Linked DNA regions of Drosophila melanogaster. The protein of the gene in region 1 purifies or fractionates together with the protein of each later gene. This does not show direct contact. Each region holds a gene or a part of one and is shown in the gene's direction. Other genes may lie near its edges.

Evidence for each region. Proteins that work in one complex are often made in the same cells at the same time.
Region 2: the proteins of Drp1 (region 1) and Debcl purify together in Drosophila melanogaster (affinity purification with western blotting, with the first as the bait; one study listed by BioGRID). This does not show direct contact.

What each region holds. Positions count from the first base shown.
Region 1 is NT_033779.5:2,579,247-2,588,729, reverse strand, and holds Drp1 (dynamin related protein 1), read left to right. Parts: upstream 1-3,299; 5' UTR 3,300-3,458; coding exon 3,459-3,560; intron 3,561-4,328; coding exon 4,329-4,473; intron 4,474-4,531; coding exon 4,532-5,196; intron 5,197-5,411; coding exon 5,412-5,863; intron 5,864-5,918; coding exon 5,919-6,264; intron 6,265-6,327; coding exon 6,328-6,556; intron 6,557-6,620; coding exon 6,621-6,832; intron 6,833-6,891; coding exon 6,892-6,948; 3' UTR 6,949-7,449; downstream 7,450-9,483. Other genes in the region: Arpc5 (Actin-related protein 2/3 complex, subunit 5), read right to left, coding at 7,844-8,086, 8,149-8,361; ND-B17.2 (NADH dehydrogenase (ubiquinone) B17.2 subunit), read left to right, coding at 8,776-8,870, 8,934-9,111, 9,163-9,247, 9,304-9,374.
Region 2 is NT_033778.4:6,645,323-6,653,342, forward strand, and holds Debcl (death executioner Bcl-2), read left to right. Parts: upstream 1-3,331; 5' UTR 3,332-3,956; coding exon 3,957-4,256; intron 4,257-6,666; coding exon 6,667-6,810; intron 6,811-6,865; coding exon 6,866-7,324; 3' UTR 7,325-7,520; downstream 7,521-8,020. Other genes in the region: Opbp (Optix-binding protein), read left to right, coding at 7,993-7,999.

The sequences.
Region 1 (9,483 bases):
TACACTTGCTTGTTGTCGCCTCGCAGCAGCACTCGAAGAAAGATTTCCCAGCCAATTTGAATATAATTGGTAAGAATTTTAAATTCAAGAAATATGTTTTTAATATTTGCTAAAGCACTACTTGAAAGAATAAGCCCATGAAAAATGGATCGTAAGAATGATATTATGTTCCTTGGTATATCAATCTACTTCAATTGCATCCCCTTTTTTCCAGTGTCTCGAGGCTTTCCGTCGAGGTTTTCCGCCACAGCTGGAGTATGCAAATGCTCCCCACTTTTCCGCCCACACTTCTAATTCCGCTTAGCTGCAAATCCAATTAAACATGCAGCCAGAGCATTGCCAAAATATAAATAAGGGAAACATGTGTGCGATACTTTCGCACTTTCCGCAGTAGAAGGCAGCAGGCATCTGGCAGCCGCGTTCCCAGGCAGATTAATGGCCAAGGAGCTGGGTGCCAAGAGCGGCGACATCTGCTAAATGGTAACCACATCCTGCCAAGATCCGGGGCGCACCGAAAAACCCAACCAAGCGGCTGCACACATGGCCTTCATAATTCAACCCACTTGATAGAGTCGGTTATGGCCACACTTCATGGTCCTTTAATGGGTTTAGTAATGGTAATGATGAAAAAAGAGATATATCTAATTTATTATTATGCATATATATTCAGTTATTGAATAAAAATGTATTGTATACTTTCAACCAAGTTTTATATTAAAATGTGCGAGAGCATAAAGAGCAACCTCCTTCAAACCGCATCAATCAGCAATTATATCGCATATTTCCCAGCTCGCGCTCCGCATTTTCCAGCCAGACCACAAGCTGTGGAACATTCATGATTCCGGGAATTGCAAAGGGGCAAAATCAAAGTTCATTATTGCAGCAGTTGTGGCGAGAACGTACGGAGAAGTTTCCGCCCCGTAACGCCGCCTACTTCAAGGGCTCTCCATCCATCCGTCGTATTCACATGGCGTATACGCAATATAAATACGTAATTGCATGAAACACCATGGAAAACGGGCAGAGCCATTGATCAACTGGCAGTCAGCCGAAAGATGAAAGCCGAGTCCCGAAAACCAAAGGCATCGAGGCACAAAAGAGCAAAGCACCAAAGGAGCAGGATGAGCAGGAGGAGCATGAGGACTTCGTGGTTTCCACCAGGGCAGAGAAGCTCATCAACTAAATGCAAAGTTCTTGCAGGCTGGCTGCAGAACAAGAATAATTGACGACGACATGGCGATGGATAATGAGGCGACTACCCATCCTGCACACACGCAGGATATGACAGCGAAAGGCTGGCGACTCCTTGCAGCACTATAATCCTGCGGAAACACTTGAAAATGATGGATGAAAATTATCGCTTTGTGCAACGCATGCAAATGTGCAAAATTACTTTCACATGATTAATGCTCCACCGGAGGGCAGAGGCTGCTCCAGCTTCAACTACACCATCATCATCACCATCATCATCATCATCACTCCATAATTAATCGCGCCAAGTCGAAAAGCGGCAAAAGAAAGCCAGAAAGCAGACAATGGCTGAACTTCATTTGAAATTCATATTTTAAGTATTCGTCAGTCAATTAGAGAGCCAAGGACCCTGACACCGAATTTGCATTCAGCCGTGAAATTATCAAATTAATATTCCGGCCCCGAGAAGGGGGCGTGCCCCATCACCATCACCCCCGCCCGTCTTTCGCAATAACTGTCAACTCAAACTCAAGAAGTTTTCCACGCCGCACATTTCGGCAAGTTGTCAAGCCAGAGATACGAAAGTTCCCCGGTCCAACAATGCCAATTTGATGGGGGAAATTTTGAAATATTTATACACACTCAAACACACAGATACAGCAGAGGTGTGCTGGCAAAGTTGCCAGCCAAATTTGTTAATTGGAAGCCGAAAGTTTATCTATGAAAATGCTAAAGAAGCCCACTTGCAGTTCGAAAAATGCCAGAATGTATAATAATGGGGCAAGAAATGAGATTAGTCAGTATCCCAAACTTGAATGATCAAAGTTTCATGGATGGCGTAACTAATTTTGAAGTGGAATGATTAAATTTTGAAACTACTTATAATCGATATTACCATCCTGCGATCGGAACAATAAACTCAAACAATTCGATACTTCAATGGGATTGTAAATAATAAGTCATCTTAAATCATCCCAAGCATATTCAAATCGCTTGGAAGCCATTAAAGAGATAAGCGAGCATTGCAAAATGATATCAGCCAACTTGTAACAATTTTCATTGTCATTTTCAATTGGGAGCAGCCAGGAGGAGCTGGCCAAACAACAATGGGAACTGTTATCAAATAGGACACATGATGCATACGTGAGTGGGGGCTTCTATGCACATGGATGTGGTACATACATATGTACGTCCAATATTCTGGTCCATTTGGGCCAGGCCACTATCGAAATTTGAATGCTTAGTGTACCGGGCGACAAGCATCCTCGAACATTGAAATAAACCGATAAAAACGACAGATGAGCCCGGCATTTCGCCCACAATGCATGCCAGGCAGGCAATCGAGTGTGGTCGAGAAATAGTCGGGTAGCCCCCTTTTTGGTTTTGGGGCACAGCTCACTGCCCTGCAATTCTTATATAAAACCGGGGAAGTCCCCATCCCAACCGCCCATGCAAATCTCGAGCACTTGAGGCCGGTCCCCAGATTATTCCTTTTCCCTATTTTGGGCCACGTGGTCTGACCACTTGGCGGCTGCTCCAACTTTAATATTTCTTCGTTTAAATAGTCCTTTATTTCTGCAGAAATTAGACAAAATCAAAGACAATATATTTATGCTATATATTCATTTTCACTGTTATGTCTGTAAGGGTATTCAGAAATGCGCCTACTCTGTGTAGTTTTTCAATTTAGTTAGATACGATGAATATATTGAGATTCTGCCAGATTTAGATTGTGGTGTGTGAGTTTTCAGATTGGTTTGTAAGGACCCCTTTTGTTTGGTCCATATCAATACAAACTCCTCATGTGCATATAAAATAAGTAAAAAGGCAAAATATGAAACAAAACAAAAAGAAAAGGACATTCATATTTTGTAGCTATTGGGGGATTTTAAGTAATGTTATGAAATCATACCTTTCTTTATTTGTGTAAAGTATTCAATACACGCAACTAACGGGCAAAATTGGAAACACCCAAAAATTCAATTTTGGCGCGCACAGAAAGCTGCCCTTTTGGAATAGATTGGCAGCACTCTCGCGCACGGTGGCAACCTCGTCTAGGGACTGCCGATAGCAGCAAGTTCCGCCCGTGTGGCAACACCGCTAGAAAAACAGTCTAAATTTGCTGTGCAACACTGGCGGTTTGCAAAAATAATTTCGGTGCTCGCGTCAATCAGAAAAAGCCGAAAAGAACGGCCTTTATGTGCGCGAATTAATCGCCAGCCGAGTGGAACGCGACCAAAGGAACCCAGCACACACACACACTCAGAATGGAGGCCCTAATTCCGGTCATAAACAAGCTGCAGGACGTCTTCAACACCGTGGGCTCCGACTCCATCCAATTGCCCCAAATTGTTGTTCTAGGCAGTCAGGTAAATGCAAACTGCGAGGTGCCCAAAAATCCGCACACCGAAAACCATAAATCCCCGAGCTCCGTAAAAGGAGTGGCAACTGAGAACCGGAATATGGCGCAGCTATCTGAAACCCCAACTCTTGCGCTTTTCCAGTGACCGCAAAATTATATAACTGAGTGCGTTTGCCGGCATTTTAGTTGTGTTTTCAGTTTGTAGCAACATTTCAGCCAGCTTTCGCTCTTCGCGGCGTCCCCATTGTTTATATAATTATTTTTGGCACTGCTCGCCGCCGCCATGGAAAATCAATATGCCACAGTATTATACAAAAACGAAAAAAAAAACAGCTGCTGGCTGATGTGACACATTCCCCCACGAACACACTGCAAAAAACAAACGTACACATGTGTGACTTCGATAGTTGTGTCTGTATGTACATATATGTGTGCATGTTTCGATCGCTGGCTTAATTGCACTTTGATTCACGCTCTGGAATTAAGTCAGTATGACTAAATGCTCGCGCAACTCATTGATACCGAGTACAGCGGAGCTCCAATATGTTGAATCTGTGCCATTTCTTACCATTCATTTGGTTTTCTGTTGCAAAGGCTTAAGTTTGAGAAATTTGCAATCACAGAATGGCTCCCATTGCCAGATAAGAATAGTTAATCTGCGGTTTTCCAAGTGTTTCCTCGCTGCAAACGCTTGGGAGCCACCTTATCAGGTCATCGTCTTTTATCAGCCGTCGTTTTAACTCCCAGTAATACATACATTTCCCCTTTTTTCCAGAGCTCCGGCAAGAGTTCGGTGATCGAGAGCGTTGTGGGACGATCCTTTCTGCCCCGTGGAACTGGTATTGTGACCCGTCGCCCACTGGTGCTCCAGCTGATCTACAGCCCACTCGATGATCGCGAGAATCGCTCGGCGGAAAATGGTGAGTTGAGACGTCAGAAGTTCGGGAAAACCCAATTGCTAAACCACATAACACTTAGGTACGTCCAATGCCGAGGAGTGGGGCCGCTTCCTGCACACCAAGAAGTGCTTCACGGACTTTGACGAGATCCGCAAGGAGATCGAAAACGAAACGGAGCGGGCGGCGGGCAGCAACAAGGGCATCTGCCCGGAGCCCATCAACCTGAAGATATTCTCAACGCACGTGGTCAACCTAACGCTGGTGGATCTGCCCGGCATCACCAAGGTCCCGGTGGGCGATCAGCCGGAGGATATCGAGGCGCAGATCAAAGAATTGGTCCTCAAGTACATTGAGAACCCGAACTCCATCATTTTGGCTGTGACGGCCGCCAACACGGACATGGCCACCAGTGAGGCACTCAAGCTGGCCAAGGACGTGGACCCCGATGGCCGGCGCACTCTGGCCGTGGTCACGAAACTGGATCTCATGGATGCCGGCACCGATGCCATCGACATCCTGTGCGGCCGGGTCATTCCCGTCAAGCTGGGCATCATCGGCGTTATGAATCGCTCGCAGAAGGACATCATGGACCAAAAGCACATCGACGATCAGATGAAGGACGAGGCCGCCTTCCTGCAGCGCAAGTATCCCACTCTGGCCACCCGGAACGGCACGCCCTACTTGGCCAAGACCCTCAACCGGCTCCTGATGCACCACATCCGGGACTGCCTGCCAGATCTTAAGGTGAGTCTAGTCTATAAAGACTGCATATCGATTTCACAAACTATGCGAGAATCTCAGGCTAAAACTTCAAGAAAATGTAAAAAAATGAAACAAACTTGGCACTCGATTATAATCGATCTTTATATTTTTCTATGGTAAAGCAAGAGAAGATTAATGGCAGATAAGGTTAGAATAGCATGTTGAATTCAAGAGAATGACTTCCCATATTCTTGCAGACTCGCGTCAACATCATGGCCACGCAATTCCAATCGCTGCTGAACTCCTATGGCGAGGATGTCTCCGACAAGAGCCAGACCCTGCTGCAGATCATCACGAAGTTCTCCAGCGCCTACTGCTGCACAATCGAGGGCACGGCCAGGAATATCGAGACCACGGAACTGTGCGGCGGTGCCCGGATGGGCTACATTTTCCACGAGACCTTCGGCCGCACCCTGGACTCCATTCACCCGCTGGCGGGTCTGAGCAAGATGGACATACTGACAGCCATCCGGAATGCCACTGGTCCACGCCCGGCTTTGTTCGTTCCGGAGGTCTCGTTCGAACTGCTAGTGAAGCGCCAGATTCGCCGCCTGGAGGAACCCTCCTTGCGCTGCGTGGAACTCATTCACGAGGAGATGCAGCGCATTGTTCAGCATTGTGGCAACGAAGTGCAGCAGGAGATGCTGCGGTATGTGAACTCATGATAGCTGAACGCCAAAGGTTTTCATCGATCTCCCCTACAGCTTTCCCAAACTGCACGAGAAGATTGTGGACGTGGTCACCCAGCTGCTGCGTCGACGTCTGCCGCACACCAACGTGATGGTGGAGAACATTGTGGCCATCGAGCTGGCCTACATCAACACCAAGCACCCCGACTTCCACAAGGATGCCGCTTTGGTGCCCAGTCTGCTGAAAACGGACAGCGATCCCTACTCACAGATAAATCTGGGGCAGCGGCGGGCCAATACACCGCGAAACCACATGTCGCCTCAGATTTCGTCGCACAGTGCTGGTTCACAGCAGCCGCAGCAGCAACAGCCGCCGCAGCCGAATTCCTCACAGCAGCAATATAGCCAAGTGCATGAGCAGGTGCCAGCGGAATCTTCATTTATGTATGCAACCTATTTAACCCATTTTCGTTTCGCTCTCTAGAACCACGTCGCCGAGAACTCGACGCCTTCGATGGCCAGCACATGGCTGTCAAACATTTTACCGCCGGCACCAACGCGTCCGGACAGCATTGAGAACTCGACCAACAACACTCCGGTTCACAATAACATCGTGAGTCCAGTGAAGCCGGTCAATCTGCTGCCCGATGTGCCGGCCAACCACAATCCACGTCGCCTCACTGACAAGGAGCAGAAGGATTGCGATGTCATCGGTGGGTTGCACTTAACTCGGGCCACTTAAAGACCTAACTCAATCTGACTACTTTTTGTTTTTAGAACACCTGATCAAATCGTATTTCTACATTGTGCGCAAATCCATACAAGACTCGGTTCCAAAGGCCATCATGCATTTCTTGGTTAACTACGTTAAGGACAACTTGCAGAGCGAATTGGTTACACATCTGTATAAGTCGGATAAGGCTGAAACCCTGCTCAACGAGTCCGATCACATTGCAGTGCGCCGAAAAGAGGCGGCAGATATGCTGAAGGTGCGCTTGGCTAGCTTATACTTAGCTTGACATCGTTTTAAACTTACTTTTGATTTCAGGCACTGACGCGAGCGAATCACATCATCAGCGAAATCCGCGAGACCCACATGTGGTAGGCTGGTCAGCGATTGGAGCAACCCGTTTCGACTTAATAATCCCCGCATATAAGCAACATAAAAACTATTTATTGAAGACGCGTTCAAAGAGAACGAACTCCTTTGTTAAATGTTCCCCCTACCGAGCACTGAAATATCATCAAATTGCATGCGACCCCCAAATTCTGGGCCTTTCATTTAGCCAACTCGCATTTCTATTCGCCTGGCATTTGTCTATCATCGAGCCTCTCCGCTTTTTAAATTAATAAGAAGTTGTAGACGCCGTGATTGGTTTGATTAGGTTACTCAAAGCACTTATTACACATTGAATAGTCAAATAAAGCAGAAAAGGTTGATTCAAACATAGTAGATGTGTTTTCTGTCACGGCAGCTAAAAGTTTACGAAGGCAACGTCATCATGTTGAATGATACACCTGGAATTTCGATTAGATAAGCCATTATGTTCGTAAAGTTGCTAGGCTCAGTCTGAAGATTAATAAGTGTTTAAATCTGATAGGAGTTGAATCTTCCTGAGTTTTGAGATGCGTAGCAATTGCTTAGCCTTACTAAAAACAAAATTTTTCTTACAAATTATGTTACATGTAGGTGTGGCTTGAGTGAACTAGAAGTACGTTCGTTCCCCTGATTGAAATCACTGCCACTCACCTTTCGTAATAAAAACTTTAATACTTGGATACCAGTTAAAATCTAATTTGGAAAACGTCATTTGTATTGCGGCGAAGAAACAGAAGTGGGTTCCAGCTGGGGCGTGGCAAATCCCGAAGATAAGGATGTGGTGTCCAGTGCTCCAATCCTGTGTTGATTAAATGCTCCGCGATGCGTATGAATCGGTTTATGGGGCAGGGAACAGTTGGGGTAGTGACTCTATGACCGCCTTTGGCTGTGCTGATCTCCTCTAGGCGCGATTTGTGTCGGACAGCACGCGGACAATGCAGCCCACTCCTCCCTTGGCGAAGGCCTTCTCATGCCACTGCAGCAGGTGGCCACTGGAGCCCTCCGAGGGGATCTCGAATCCCCGATATATGTACTTCATCAGCACGTCTATTAGGTCGTTCTGGTCCAAGGTGTCGATGGCCTGGTCCATTTGCGTCGACTTGATGGACAGCAGCACCCGCAGCGTGATGTTCAGGGCGTGGTCCTGCAATGCAAGGAAGGATTAGCTTTATAGGGTTCTCGATACGAATAGGTGTGGCTACCCACCTTCACATTCTGGTTCTTGCAGCGCAGCGGGGCATTCTGCAGCGCACTCAGGAGCGCCTCCACGGATTTTCCCTGCGTCAGCAGCGTCGTAATCTCGCTCTCATCCGGACCGGCTGCCGCGCTCTCCACCCCATCATCCTCCCGGAAGTTGTCCTCATTGTACTGGTCCACATCGATCTTGCGGAACGCGTTGCTGGACGTGTTTTTGGCCATGTTTTCGCTAAATTCCCACCACTTTTCTCTACAAAAATATGAATCACAAAATCCGGCAAGGCAAAACAGATGAGTGGCAGTGTGGCCGAACCTCAGAAAATACTAGCTGCAGTATTATTACCAAAGCGCCAATAATGCACAGGATACATCCAAGCAACAAAAAACATGAGTTTCACAATCACTTATCTCAGCAAATGAAAGTCTAATGAGCTTTAAAAATATTTTGAGAGTAGGTTTCGACCAATCTTGTTCCATTTTTACTTCAAAGAATATGATTGATATGATTCAGTATTTCTAGCTGGTGCTTTTGACCTCTCCTGGCCACACTGCAGATTGACTTTGTTTTTGTTTCAAGTGAGTCCAAGAAAATCGAAATTATTTACGTTTAATATATTTCTGGGTTTTCCCGGCAGCATGGCAAAGTTTTTGGGCATCAACCGGCTGACAAAGCTGTTCCAGATGGTCCGCGAAGCCGGAGGACTGAAGCAAGCGTACCTGAAGCTCTATAGGTGAGTCTCGATCTTATATAAGATTGCTCCAATCCTGAAAACCGCATATGCGCTATTTTCCAGGAACGATGATCTGAAGATCGGAACCCTGGTGGGCATCGACAAGTACGGCAACAAGTACTTCGAGAACCCGTACTACTTCTACGGCCGCAATCGCTGGATCGAGTTCGCCCCCCACGTCAACATGGACTACGATGGATCCATGATTCCCGCCGAGTGGTACGGCTGGATGCACTACAAGGTGGGTTTAGACTACATCTTGTCGCACATGTTATTACCTTTTTCCTTATAGACCGATCTGCCTCCCATTCGCGATGGATGCCGCCCCAAGTACAAGTGGATAGCGGACCACAGCGAGAATCTTTCCGGAACTAAGGGTAACTATGCACTATTCCCATTAAGTAAGCCCCCTAATTCAATCCTGCTCTTGCAGAGGCCTACTACCCCTACTCCACAACACCCAACAAAGTGGAGGCCTGGGAACCCAAGGCGAAGAAGCAGTAGTGTGGCATAGCTTATAATTATTTTTAAATTCAAGTGCAAATGGCTGCGATTGATGAGAACACCCGATCGAGTTAATAAACCCAATTTTGTTGACTCTGCACTCGAAGAA
Region 2 (8,020 bases), on another chromosome or scaffold:
TAACAGAGACGCTGGCGACGGCATCGGCCGTTCTGAAAGCGTCTGGAATCCGCCGTCAGCCGATCGGGATTACAGTCAAGCCTCACTAAGAGAAACTTATGGGCTAGTCTTGCTGATTCGCGGAATATTTCGGAAGAATACTCGTTGATAGAAAAAAAAATATGATAAATTTACCAATTCCTAATACAACATAAGAAATTTACAATGAGTCTAAACAATGGATTTGTTTCTAAAAGTTATTCATGTCCGGAAATTACGACTGTAAGTAAGGAACATCTGGCTGCTGGTCGGCATATGAACCGATCCTCAGCTTCCACAAGGGGCTCACTGATAACGCTATCAATTGAGATTTGGTGGAGATTTACATCACCTAACCCGGAGTCACTGTGTCAGTTCAGTTTAACAGCCTATTTGAGCTTTTAATTATCAGCTGCCCCTCCACCACAGCGAACGCAAATGAATATCATCAGCGACTGGAATATAATTAATTTCATTCAATTACAAAAACTCTGTCGATGGCAACAATGTTGCAGTCCGCAGTGAAGCCTACGGAAAAGTCATTGCTGGGGGTGGTGCACATATGTGTGTATGTACATATGTGGCTGGGGAGAGAGACAAATATTCTTAGAAACGGGTGTGGGGAAGCCAAGTAGTGGAAAATGTTTGCGCTGTGATAGTAGAATTGATTAGGTTGATACTCTGCCGGATTCCAATTAAACATAAGCATGCTTTGACAGCCCCATGCTGACCATCAAGATTACAATTAGTTTTGCTGTGGGGTGTATGGATGTCACGCTTCTTGGCAATCGGCCCATTTTGATCACTTCTAAAGATACTAGGTATGCAAATGCTGAGAAGTATCTGTTTTCTCGACTTTCACACCGGACAGCAGTTTACGTAGTGACGATGAGCACCGAAAGTGTGGTGCGCCAGGGAACTTAGGCCTTAGGTTGATCTGATTCAATAGTTCGGTTGGATCATTTAAAAAATCTTACATAAGTTCAAAAATAAAGAACGACACCTTTATCGTCTGAGTCCGATATCCAAGAAAATGTTCTTTTTGCTACGAACGCGTGAGCAATTCAATGTGGGATCAATCCTAAATGTGGATTACTCGTAGAACAAAAAGGGCTTACTTGATTCTTTGGCAATTATGTAACAGTTAGGAGGAAGCGTTTCAGACCTTAAAGGGATCACTAACCGAGTCGATGCCCTTTTTCGATATTGATGATATTTTTCAATAATTTTATTACGTGTGTAAATTTCTATGGATTTGCCAAAAAAAAATTTGCCACTAAATGCGCCAAGCCGGACGCTTTTAAACAATTTTTAACGGGTATCTGATATTCGGGGCACCGACTATAGCATTCTGTCTTTTTTTTTAAATATGGCAAGCAAAAGTTGGCCTGTTTATTTTTTATCTCATTTTTAAAACTTCTGATAACAAGAACACCTGTTAATGACTCAAACAAATTTCTTTTAAGCCTTGAGGTCCTATCCAAGGAATCTTTTGGGTCCCAACCGGAATGTGCGTTTATTGATCCGAAACCAAAGTCCTCCACGGGTAATATCGCCTCCAAAAGGAGCGACCGATGCTTGCATCGCTGATCTCAGATCTTAGATCGAAGAATACGGACAATAATCGTTTAGAGATAAAAGATCCAAAATTTGCGAACATCACATTTATAAGTTTGTAGTTCGCTCCCCCACAGTCTTGATATTGGCGGCAAGATGTTCTCTCGAAAAGCTTATTCCAGAGCTTTTCGTTTCGATAAAAGTTGGACTGCAGATCTGAAAGAAAGTATAATATGTAAATATCTTGAGAAGTTAATAAAATGGGTGATAAAGTAATACGACATTGGTAATTATCAAAATAGTCGGTATTCGGATTTGGAACCGGCGGAACGATGCTTCTTAGATTGATCTGATTCAATAGTTCGGTTAGATTCATTTAAAAAATCTTACATAAGCTTAAAAAACGAGAACGACACCTTTATCGTCCTAGTCCGATACACTGCAAAAATTCGCGTATCAGCGTTATTTTTATCAAAAAAATTATCTTTTTGTTACGAACGCGTAAGCAATTCAAGGTGGGATTAATCCTAAATGTGGGGATAGTTCAGCAAACTAACATTATAAAGAATATTTAATTACACACGTTACTCATCATAAAAAAGGATAACTAACCGAGTCGGTCTGGCCATGTCAATCTGGCAAGCAGATTCTACACACGACTGTGGAAGATTGTTTGAGAACGTTGCTATGCAATCGCTAATGCACAAAACTGTTACAACTACATTTTTGAAACAAGTCGGTATTTTTTCCATTTTATTGAATTATTTAGTTTATTGATCCAACGAAACGAAAGTCCTCCTCGAGTAATATCACCTCCAAAAGGGGCGACCGATGCCTGCATCTCTTATCTGAGATCATAGATCGAAGCCTACGGACATTTATCGTTTAGTGATAAAATATTTAAGTTTTTGAACATCACATTTAGCAGTTTGGAGATCGCTCCCTTACAGTTTTGAAATTGGCGGCAATAGCTTTCTGGTTCCATAACAGTTTTAGATCCGAAAGTAAGTATAATATATCTTGAGAAGTTAATCAAATGGTTGTCAGAGTAATACATCGTTGGTGAAAAAAATTTGGTTTCCATTTTACAATTATATCAAAGCAATCGGTATTCGGTTTCGAGAGCGAAGCCGTTATTTCGAAACCGTTACCGCGAACCGGTTCCCAGCGAGCCGCGGCTCGCCAGTCGCGAAAACACAACGAATGCACAATCTAGAGGTGGAGAAATATTGATGTTGGCGGGCATCAAAGCTTCCAATGTTTTTGGCGAAAAACATCGATGTTTAAAATAAAAACAACAAAATTTACCTGCTTAATTTAATGATTATTTTTTAATATTGCTTAAATAAAAAGGCAGTACTTTAAGAAAAGAAAAACAAACTTATTGTCGTCTCCGTTTTCATCAGCCGCTGGTCCAATAGTTGCTCCTATAAAACAAATTAATACAATTAAATGGAAAAGTAAACCAGTATGCATACGAGCAACTGCAAGTGCACAAATCGGGAGTTCAAAACTAACATTTCAGATATTAATCCATGTGCTATGTTATGCTTTTAATAATTGCATTAGAAAATATGGAAAATTAATTTGTACTTACAATTCATACACTTTTCTTCTCCGATGCGCAGTAGAGATGGAAAAACATCGATGTTTTCTCGAAAAACATCGATGTTTATGATTTTTCAAAAACATCGATGTTTCTCCACCTCTACAACGAACGCACAATCACAAGCGCCGCTCGCGAGAACGAGAACGGGAACTCGAAAGAACCTAGATCGCTGATCGGAGAACCGTGGAACCCGTGGAACCGTAACCGTGAAAGTGGGGAATCGAAGATAGAACGGAGAGGGTGGTAGGCCGATTCCCTCTCCCCACTGCCCGTTGAAATTCAGAATACTAAGCTCTCGGTTAAACGCGGCGAAAAAGAAAGCAAGCTCTGAGCGGCTGAAAAAAAAATGAAGTGAAATAAAACTGGGATCGCGGCACCAGCAACAAGTTTTAGTGGCTCTTCTTTGTGCGTTTCGTTCGTGTTTGCTGCCCTGCGCTTTGCTCGCCACATTCGTCGCCGACTTTTATTTTGTTTTGCCCATTTTATCAGAATCGGAGCACCTCCAAAAAAGCCCAAGACGAGCTGAGCCTCAGCTGCGTCGAGGTGAGCTGATCCACTCCGCTCCCCTTTCGTGCGCTGCCCACCGCTCCCCACCGCTCACACCCGATCCCATCCAATCCAATCCGATCCGCTCCGCTCCGAGTGCATAGTGCATGCAAAGTCGCGGGGCTGGGCTTTCGGAATTACACAACCCACATGGGGCAGCGCCAACAAAGGCCTCAGCAGCAACAATAGCGGGCAGCCAAGCATTGCCCTGCCCTCGACTTCGACCATGGCTCCCACCACCAGTCCGCCACCCAAGCTGGCCAAGTTCAAGTCCTCGTCGCTGGACCACGAGATCTACACGGCCAATCGCCGCGGCACCATTGCCACGGCCTCCAGCGACTGGAAGGCGCTCCGCGGAGGCGTCGGTGGAGGAGCAGGAGGACCCGGTAGCGTACCCAATCCCTCTAACGGACGCTCCCTTCACGCCGGCGGACCCATGACACGGGCCGCCTCCACATCCTCGCTGGCTAGCAGTACGCGCACGATGACTAACTACCAGGAGTACAAAATGGATATCATCAACCAGGTGAGGACCAGAAATGGGTGACCAGTGGCTCCGTCCTTTGCTATGGACAATTTGGGAATTATTTAGTTGAAGTCTTGAGAGTATGCTGGGACTGTTGCCTTATAAAGTAAGCGTCTGATTCAGCATATGTTCAAAAAAATTTACGAGTGTTACTCAGCCAATGGAATTGCAAGGAAGTTAAATAGGGAGATATTCACCAGCAAAGTGAGTGTTTCAGCAAGGAACTATTGAATGCCTTGGATTAGCTTTAATCTTTTGCAGAATTCTAGAATTCCGATGGGTATTCTTAAATATAAGACCAATTCGTACACATAGAGGCAGCTATGTATGTATGTATGTGGTCCAGACCAAGCAGATGTCTTCCTTATAGGCCAGAATTCTCTAAAATTATACAATTACAGTCATTTCGGTTGGAAAATTAGAAAAACTAAGCCAAGATAATACAAATTAAATTTGCAAGTGGTTTTAAAAGCATTATGAACTTTAGCGGTCAAGGCTTTGTTACAAATAATTTATATTCTTTTGACAAGTTTTCAGGGCTCATATGCATTGTTTTAATGTTGAAATTTACAATAGATACTTCTTCGATAAATAAGACTTCTTATAGTTCATAGCAATGCGCCTGGTGATATAAAAGTTTAATCAACACAAATACTTAAATTTCTTAAGAGGTTGAGGACATGTGCTTTACTTTAAGGTGTAATTATTTTAAACATGACTCGGTTTCAACCCACATTTAAATATATAGTTTTGCGTTAAAATAGTTAAAAACCTTGATAATAGTTATATATATTAGTTGTTATAGTTATTCTATTCCAGCCTTATGTTGCCACTCAATGTTTTTTTTTTAAATTATTTTAAGTAATATCTAACGTTATCAACATAGAATGAGTCAGAAAATAAACTGGTCATGCATCGGAACATGTGCACATAATTAAAACCGATTTTTGAGACATACATATAAATACAACAGTTTGGTGATTAAATATTCAGCAAGTACGCAAAATGAGAAACACAACACAAAACTAAAAGAAAAAGCTGTTCAAACAAATTGCCTAATTTCGTGGACAAATTTCGAAATTGCCAAAATGAAACGGAACAGACAACTGCAAACAGATTCCAATTTAATGTGCAGAACTGTTTGCGGTATCAACTAATTTTCGATGGCTCTGATCGAGGACGATCCATCCGAATCTCTGCTATCCACCATTTGGGTCTTGACTGTCTCAACTTAATTGATAAGGCAAATATTTTTGTTTCCACCATTCGTTTATCTGAGACTGATAAAACTATTTACTCCGCTCCTCCAGGTGAGCGACATGTAAAGTGTTTATTAAATATATTTGCCTATGTGGTTGCTTTCGCCGGGCTGATAACTTCTTGAGGAATTTATCATTAAGCGCATTGCGGAAGTTTTCTCAGAATGCAGTCCTCTAAAGTAAACGCCATTTTCTCTGACAAATCAGATGGAATGGGCCATAACCAGGCTGCATAGAGGTTTTCAAGGAAAATAATAGCAACTAAAGAAAAGGGAAGAACCGCGAAAGCGCCACGGGTGGAACCATTATAAACAAGTATTCCAAAAATAAACCGACCACTAACTATACAACCCGAAAGCCTCAGGTGATGAATTCATCGAACTCTGGCCATTCAAGTAAATCTTATGGTATTTGGTCGCACCAAACCCGCCAAAAGGAAAGAGTTGGGCGCACAAGTGTTCGCCATAACAAGATCACGTAAACAAATTGACGGATTTATTAATATTTCGCTGGGAGGCTGGACGGGTTCGGAGTAGCTTCGATAGACTTTTCAAGACACTAGCTTCAAGGCCGGTGATTTGGCATGGGCTTGATTTCTTTGGCTGGCCATGTCATAAGTCAAGTTGGCTCCAAAGTGAGTAATTGTCTGTTTACTTGGCTGCGGAATCGTTGGCGTGACGAACGGTAATTGTGCGACATAAATTGTCGAAGGAAACTTGCAACTAAATGGGTCGGAATTGAACGCAACATGGTGGGGAATGCCTTAATTACGCCAAACGTTTCGCGTCTTTCAGATTCCATAAGTAAATTTTTAGTTGTCTTAATGCCTTTCCACAGCACGTGCTGATCGCTTCTTTTGTTTAAGTCGTTGTTCAAAGTTTATTACCGCCATGTGCACCTGCCATCAGTTTGGCTGCATGTTTAGATACTCTGTAAGAGGTGTGATTGAAATAGCCCAGGTGTCTACGGAATCCTGTAAACGGATTCAGAGCGACGTAAATAGAACATATGCATGTTCGCCGGAAAACTCGAGGCAGTCGATTGATATTGTTTAAGTGGCCCGCTGATGGAGCGAAATTGCCTGGCAATGATCAAAGCACTGTAGTTAATTTGATTGTGATTGAACTTTTGGCTTTGTCGTTCTATTCCAGGGGAAATGTCTGTGTGGTCAGTACATCAGAGCGCGGCTGCGACGGGCAGGAGTCCTCAACCGGAAGGTGACACAGCGTTTGCGCAACATCCTGGACCCCGGCTCCTCGCACGTGGTCTATGAAGTTTTCCCGGCACTGAACAGCGTGAGTGTACTGCCATTCGCCATTGAATCTTTTCATAACATGGTATAATCCACAGATGGGCGAGGAACTGGAGCGGATGCACCCGCGGGTGTACACAAACATATCGCGACAGCTGTCGAGGGCCCCGTTTGGCGAGCTGGAGGACAGCGACATGGCGCCCATGTTGCTCAACCTAGTTGCCAAGGATCTTTTTCGCTCCAGCATCACCTGGGGCAAGATAATCTCGATATTTGCCGTATGCGGCGGCTTTGCCATAGACTGCGTGCGCCAGGGACATTTCGACTACCTACAGTGCCTGATTGACGGTCTGGCTGAGATCATAGAGGACGACCTGGTCTACTGGCTGATCGACAACGGCGGATGGTTGGGCCTGTCGCGGCACATCCGACCCCGGGTCGGCGAATTTACGTTCTTGGGATGGTTGACGCTGTTCGTGACTATCTCTGCAGGCGCATATATGGTCTCAAACGTGTGTCGGCGCATTGGAGGTCAACTGTATTCGCTGCTGTTCTAGATTCGCTTGGGATCGCGTCGTTAAGAAATACAATCGTACCATTTAGTCAATGAGAGCTTCAAATCATTCCTGCTTCCATGGGCACCAGTCGTTTAGTAGTATGTAACGGACCCTGTTTTACGTATAATATTGTTATTCCCTTTCTCCTCTTTTTGTACATACAAGGCTATTCTAGGCGCAATAAAGCGTGTGTTGTAAACTTTTTTTTCGAATTTGGCGCGAAGTCTGGGTGTTATGCACGGAACTGCATTACTTTATGTCCGTGTTTAGCAACACTGGAAACGCCGTGGAGGTGCCAATATTTTGAGTACGACAATTCGTCTTTAAAATGTTATAGTGCCCAATCTTTGACTGTTGAACAGTGTATCTGTTACCAGAAATTAAAGACGAATCGACTAACATAATCTCTCAGTTAAACAAAAAATATAAAAGTTAACTTTGCTGACAAAAGTTTTTATAATTTTGTAATTACTGGTTCAATGTTCTAGTCTTTAAAATAAATGTTATTAACATTTTAAATTTTGATTGTTAGCCTTGCCACCCAGCTAAAACGCAAATACTTACCCAGCCCTGTGGCAACGCTTCGATTTCCAAAAACCATTTGTTATTATTGCTGTGGATCTGCCCATTATTATTTGTTGTAAATAAAGATTGGAGCAAATTATGCCATGTCATGTAAGTGCACTGATTCCGTGG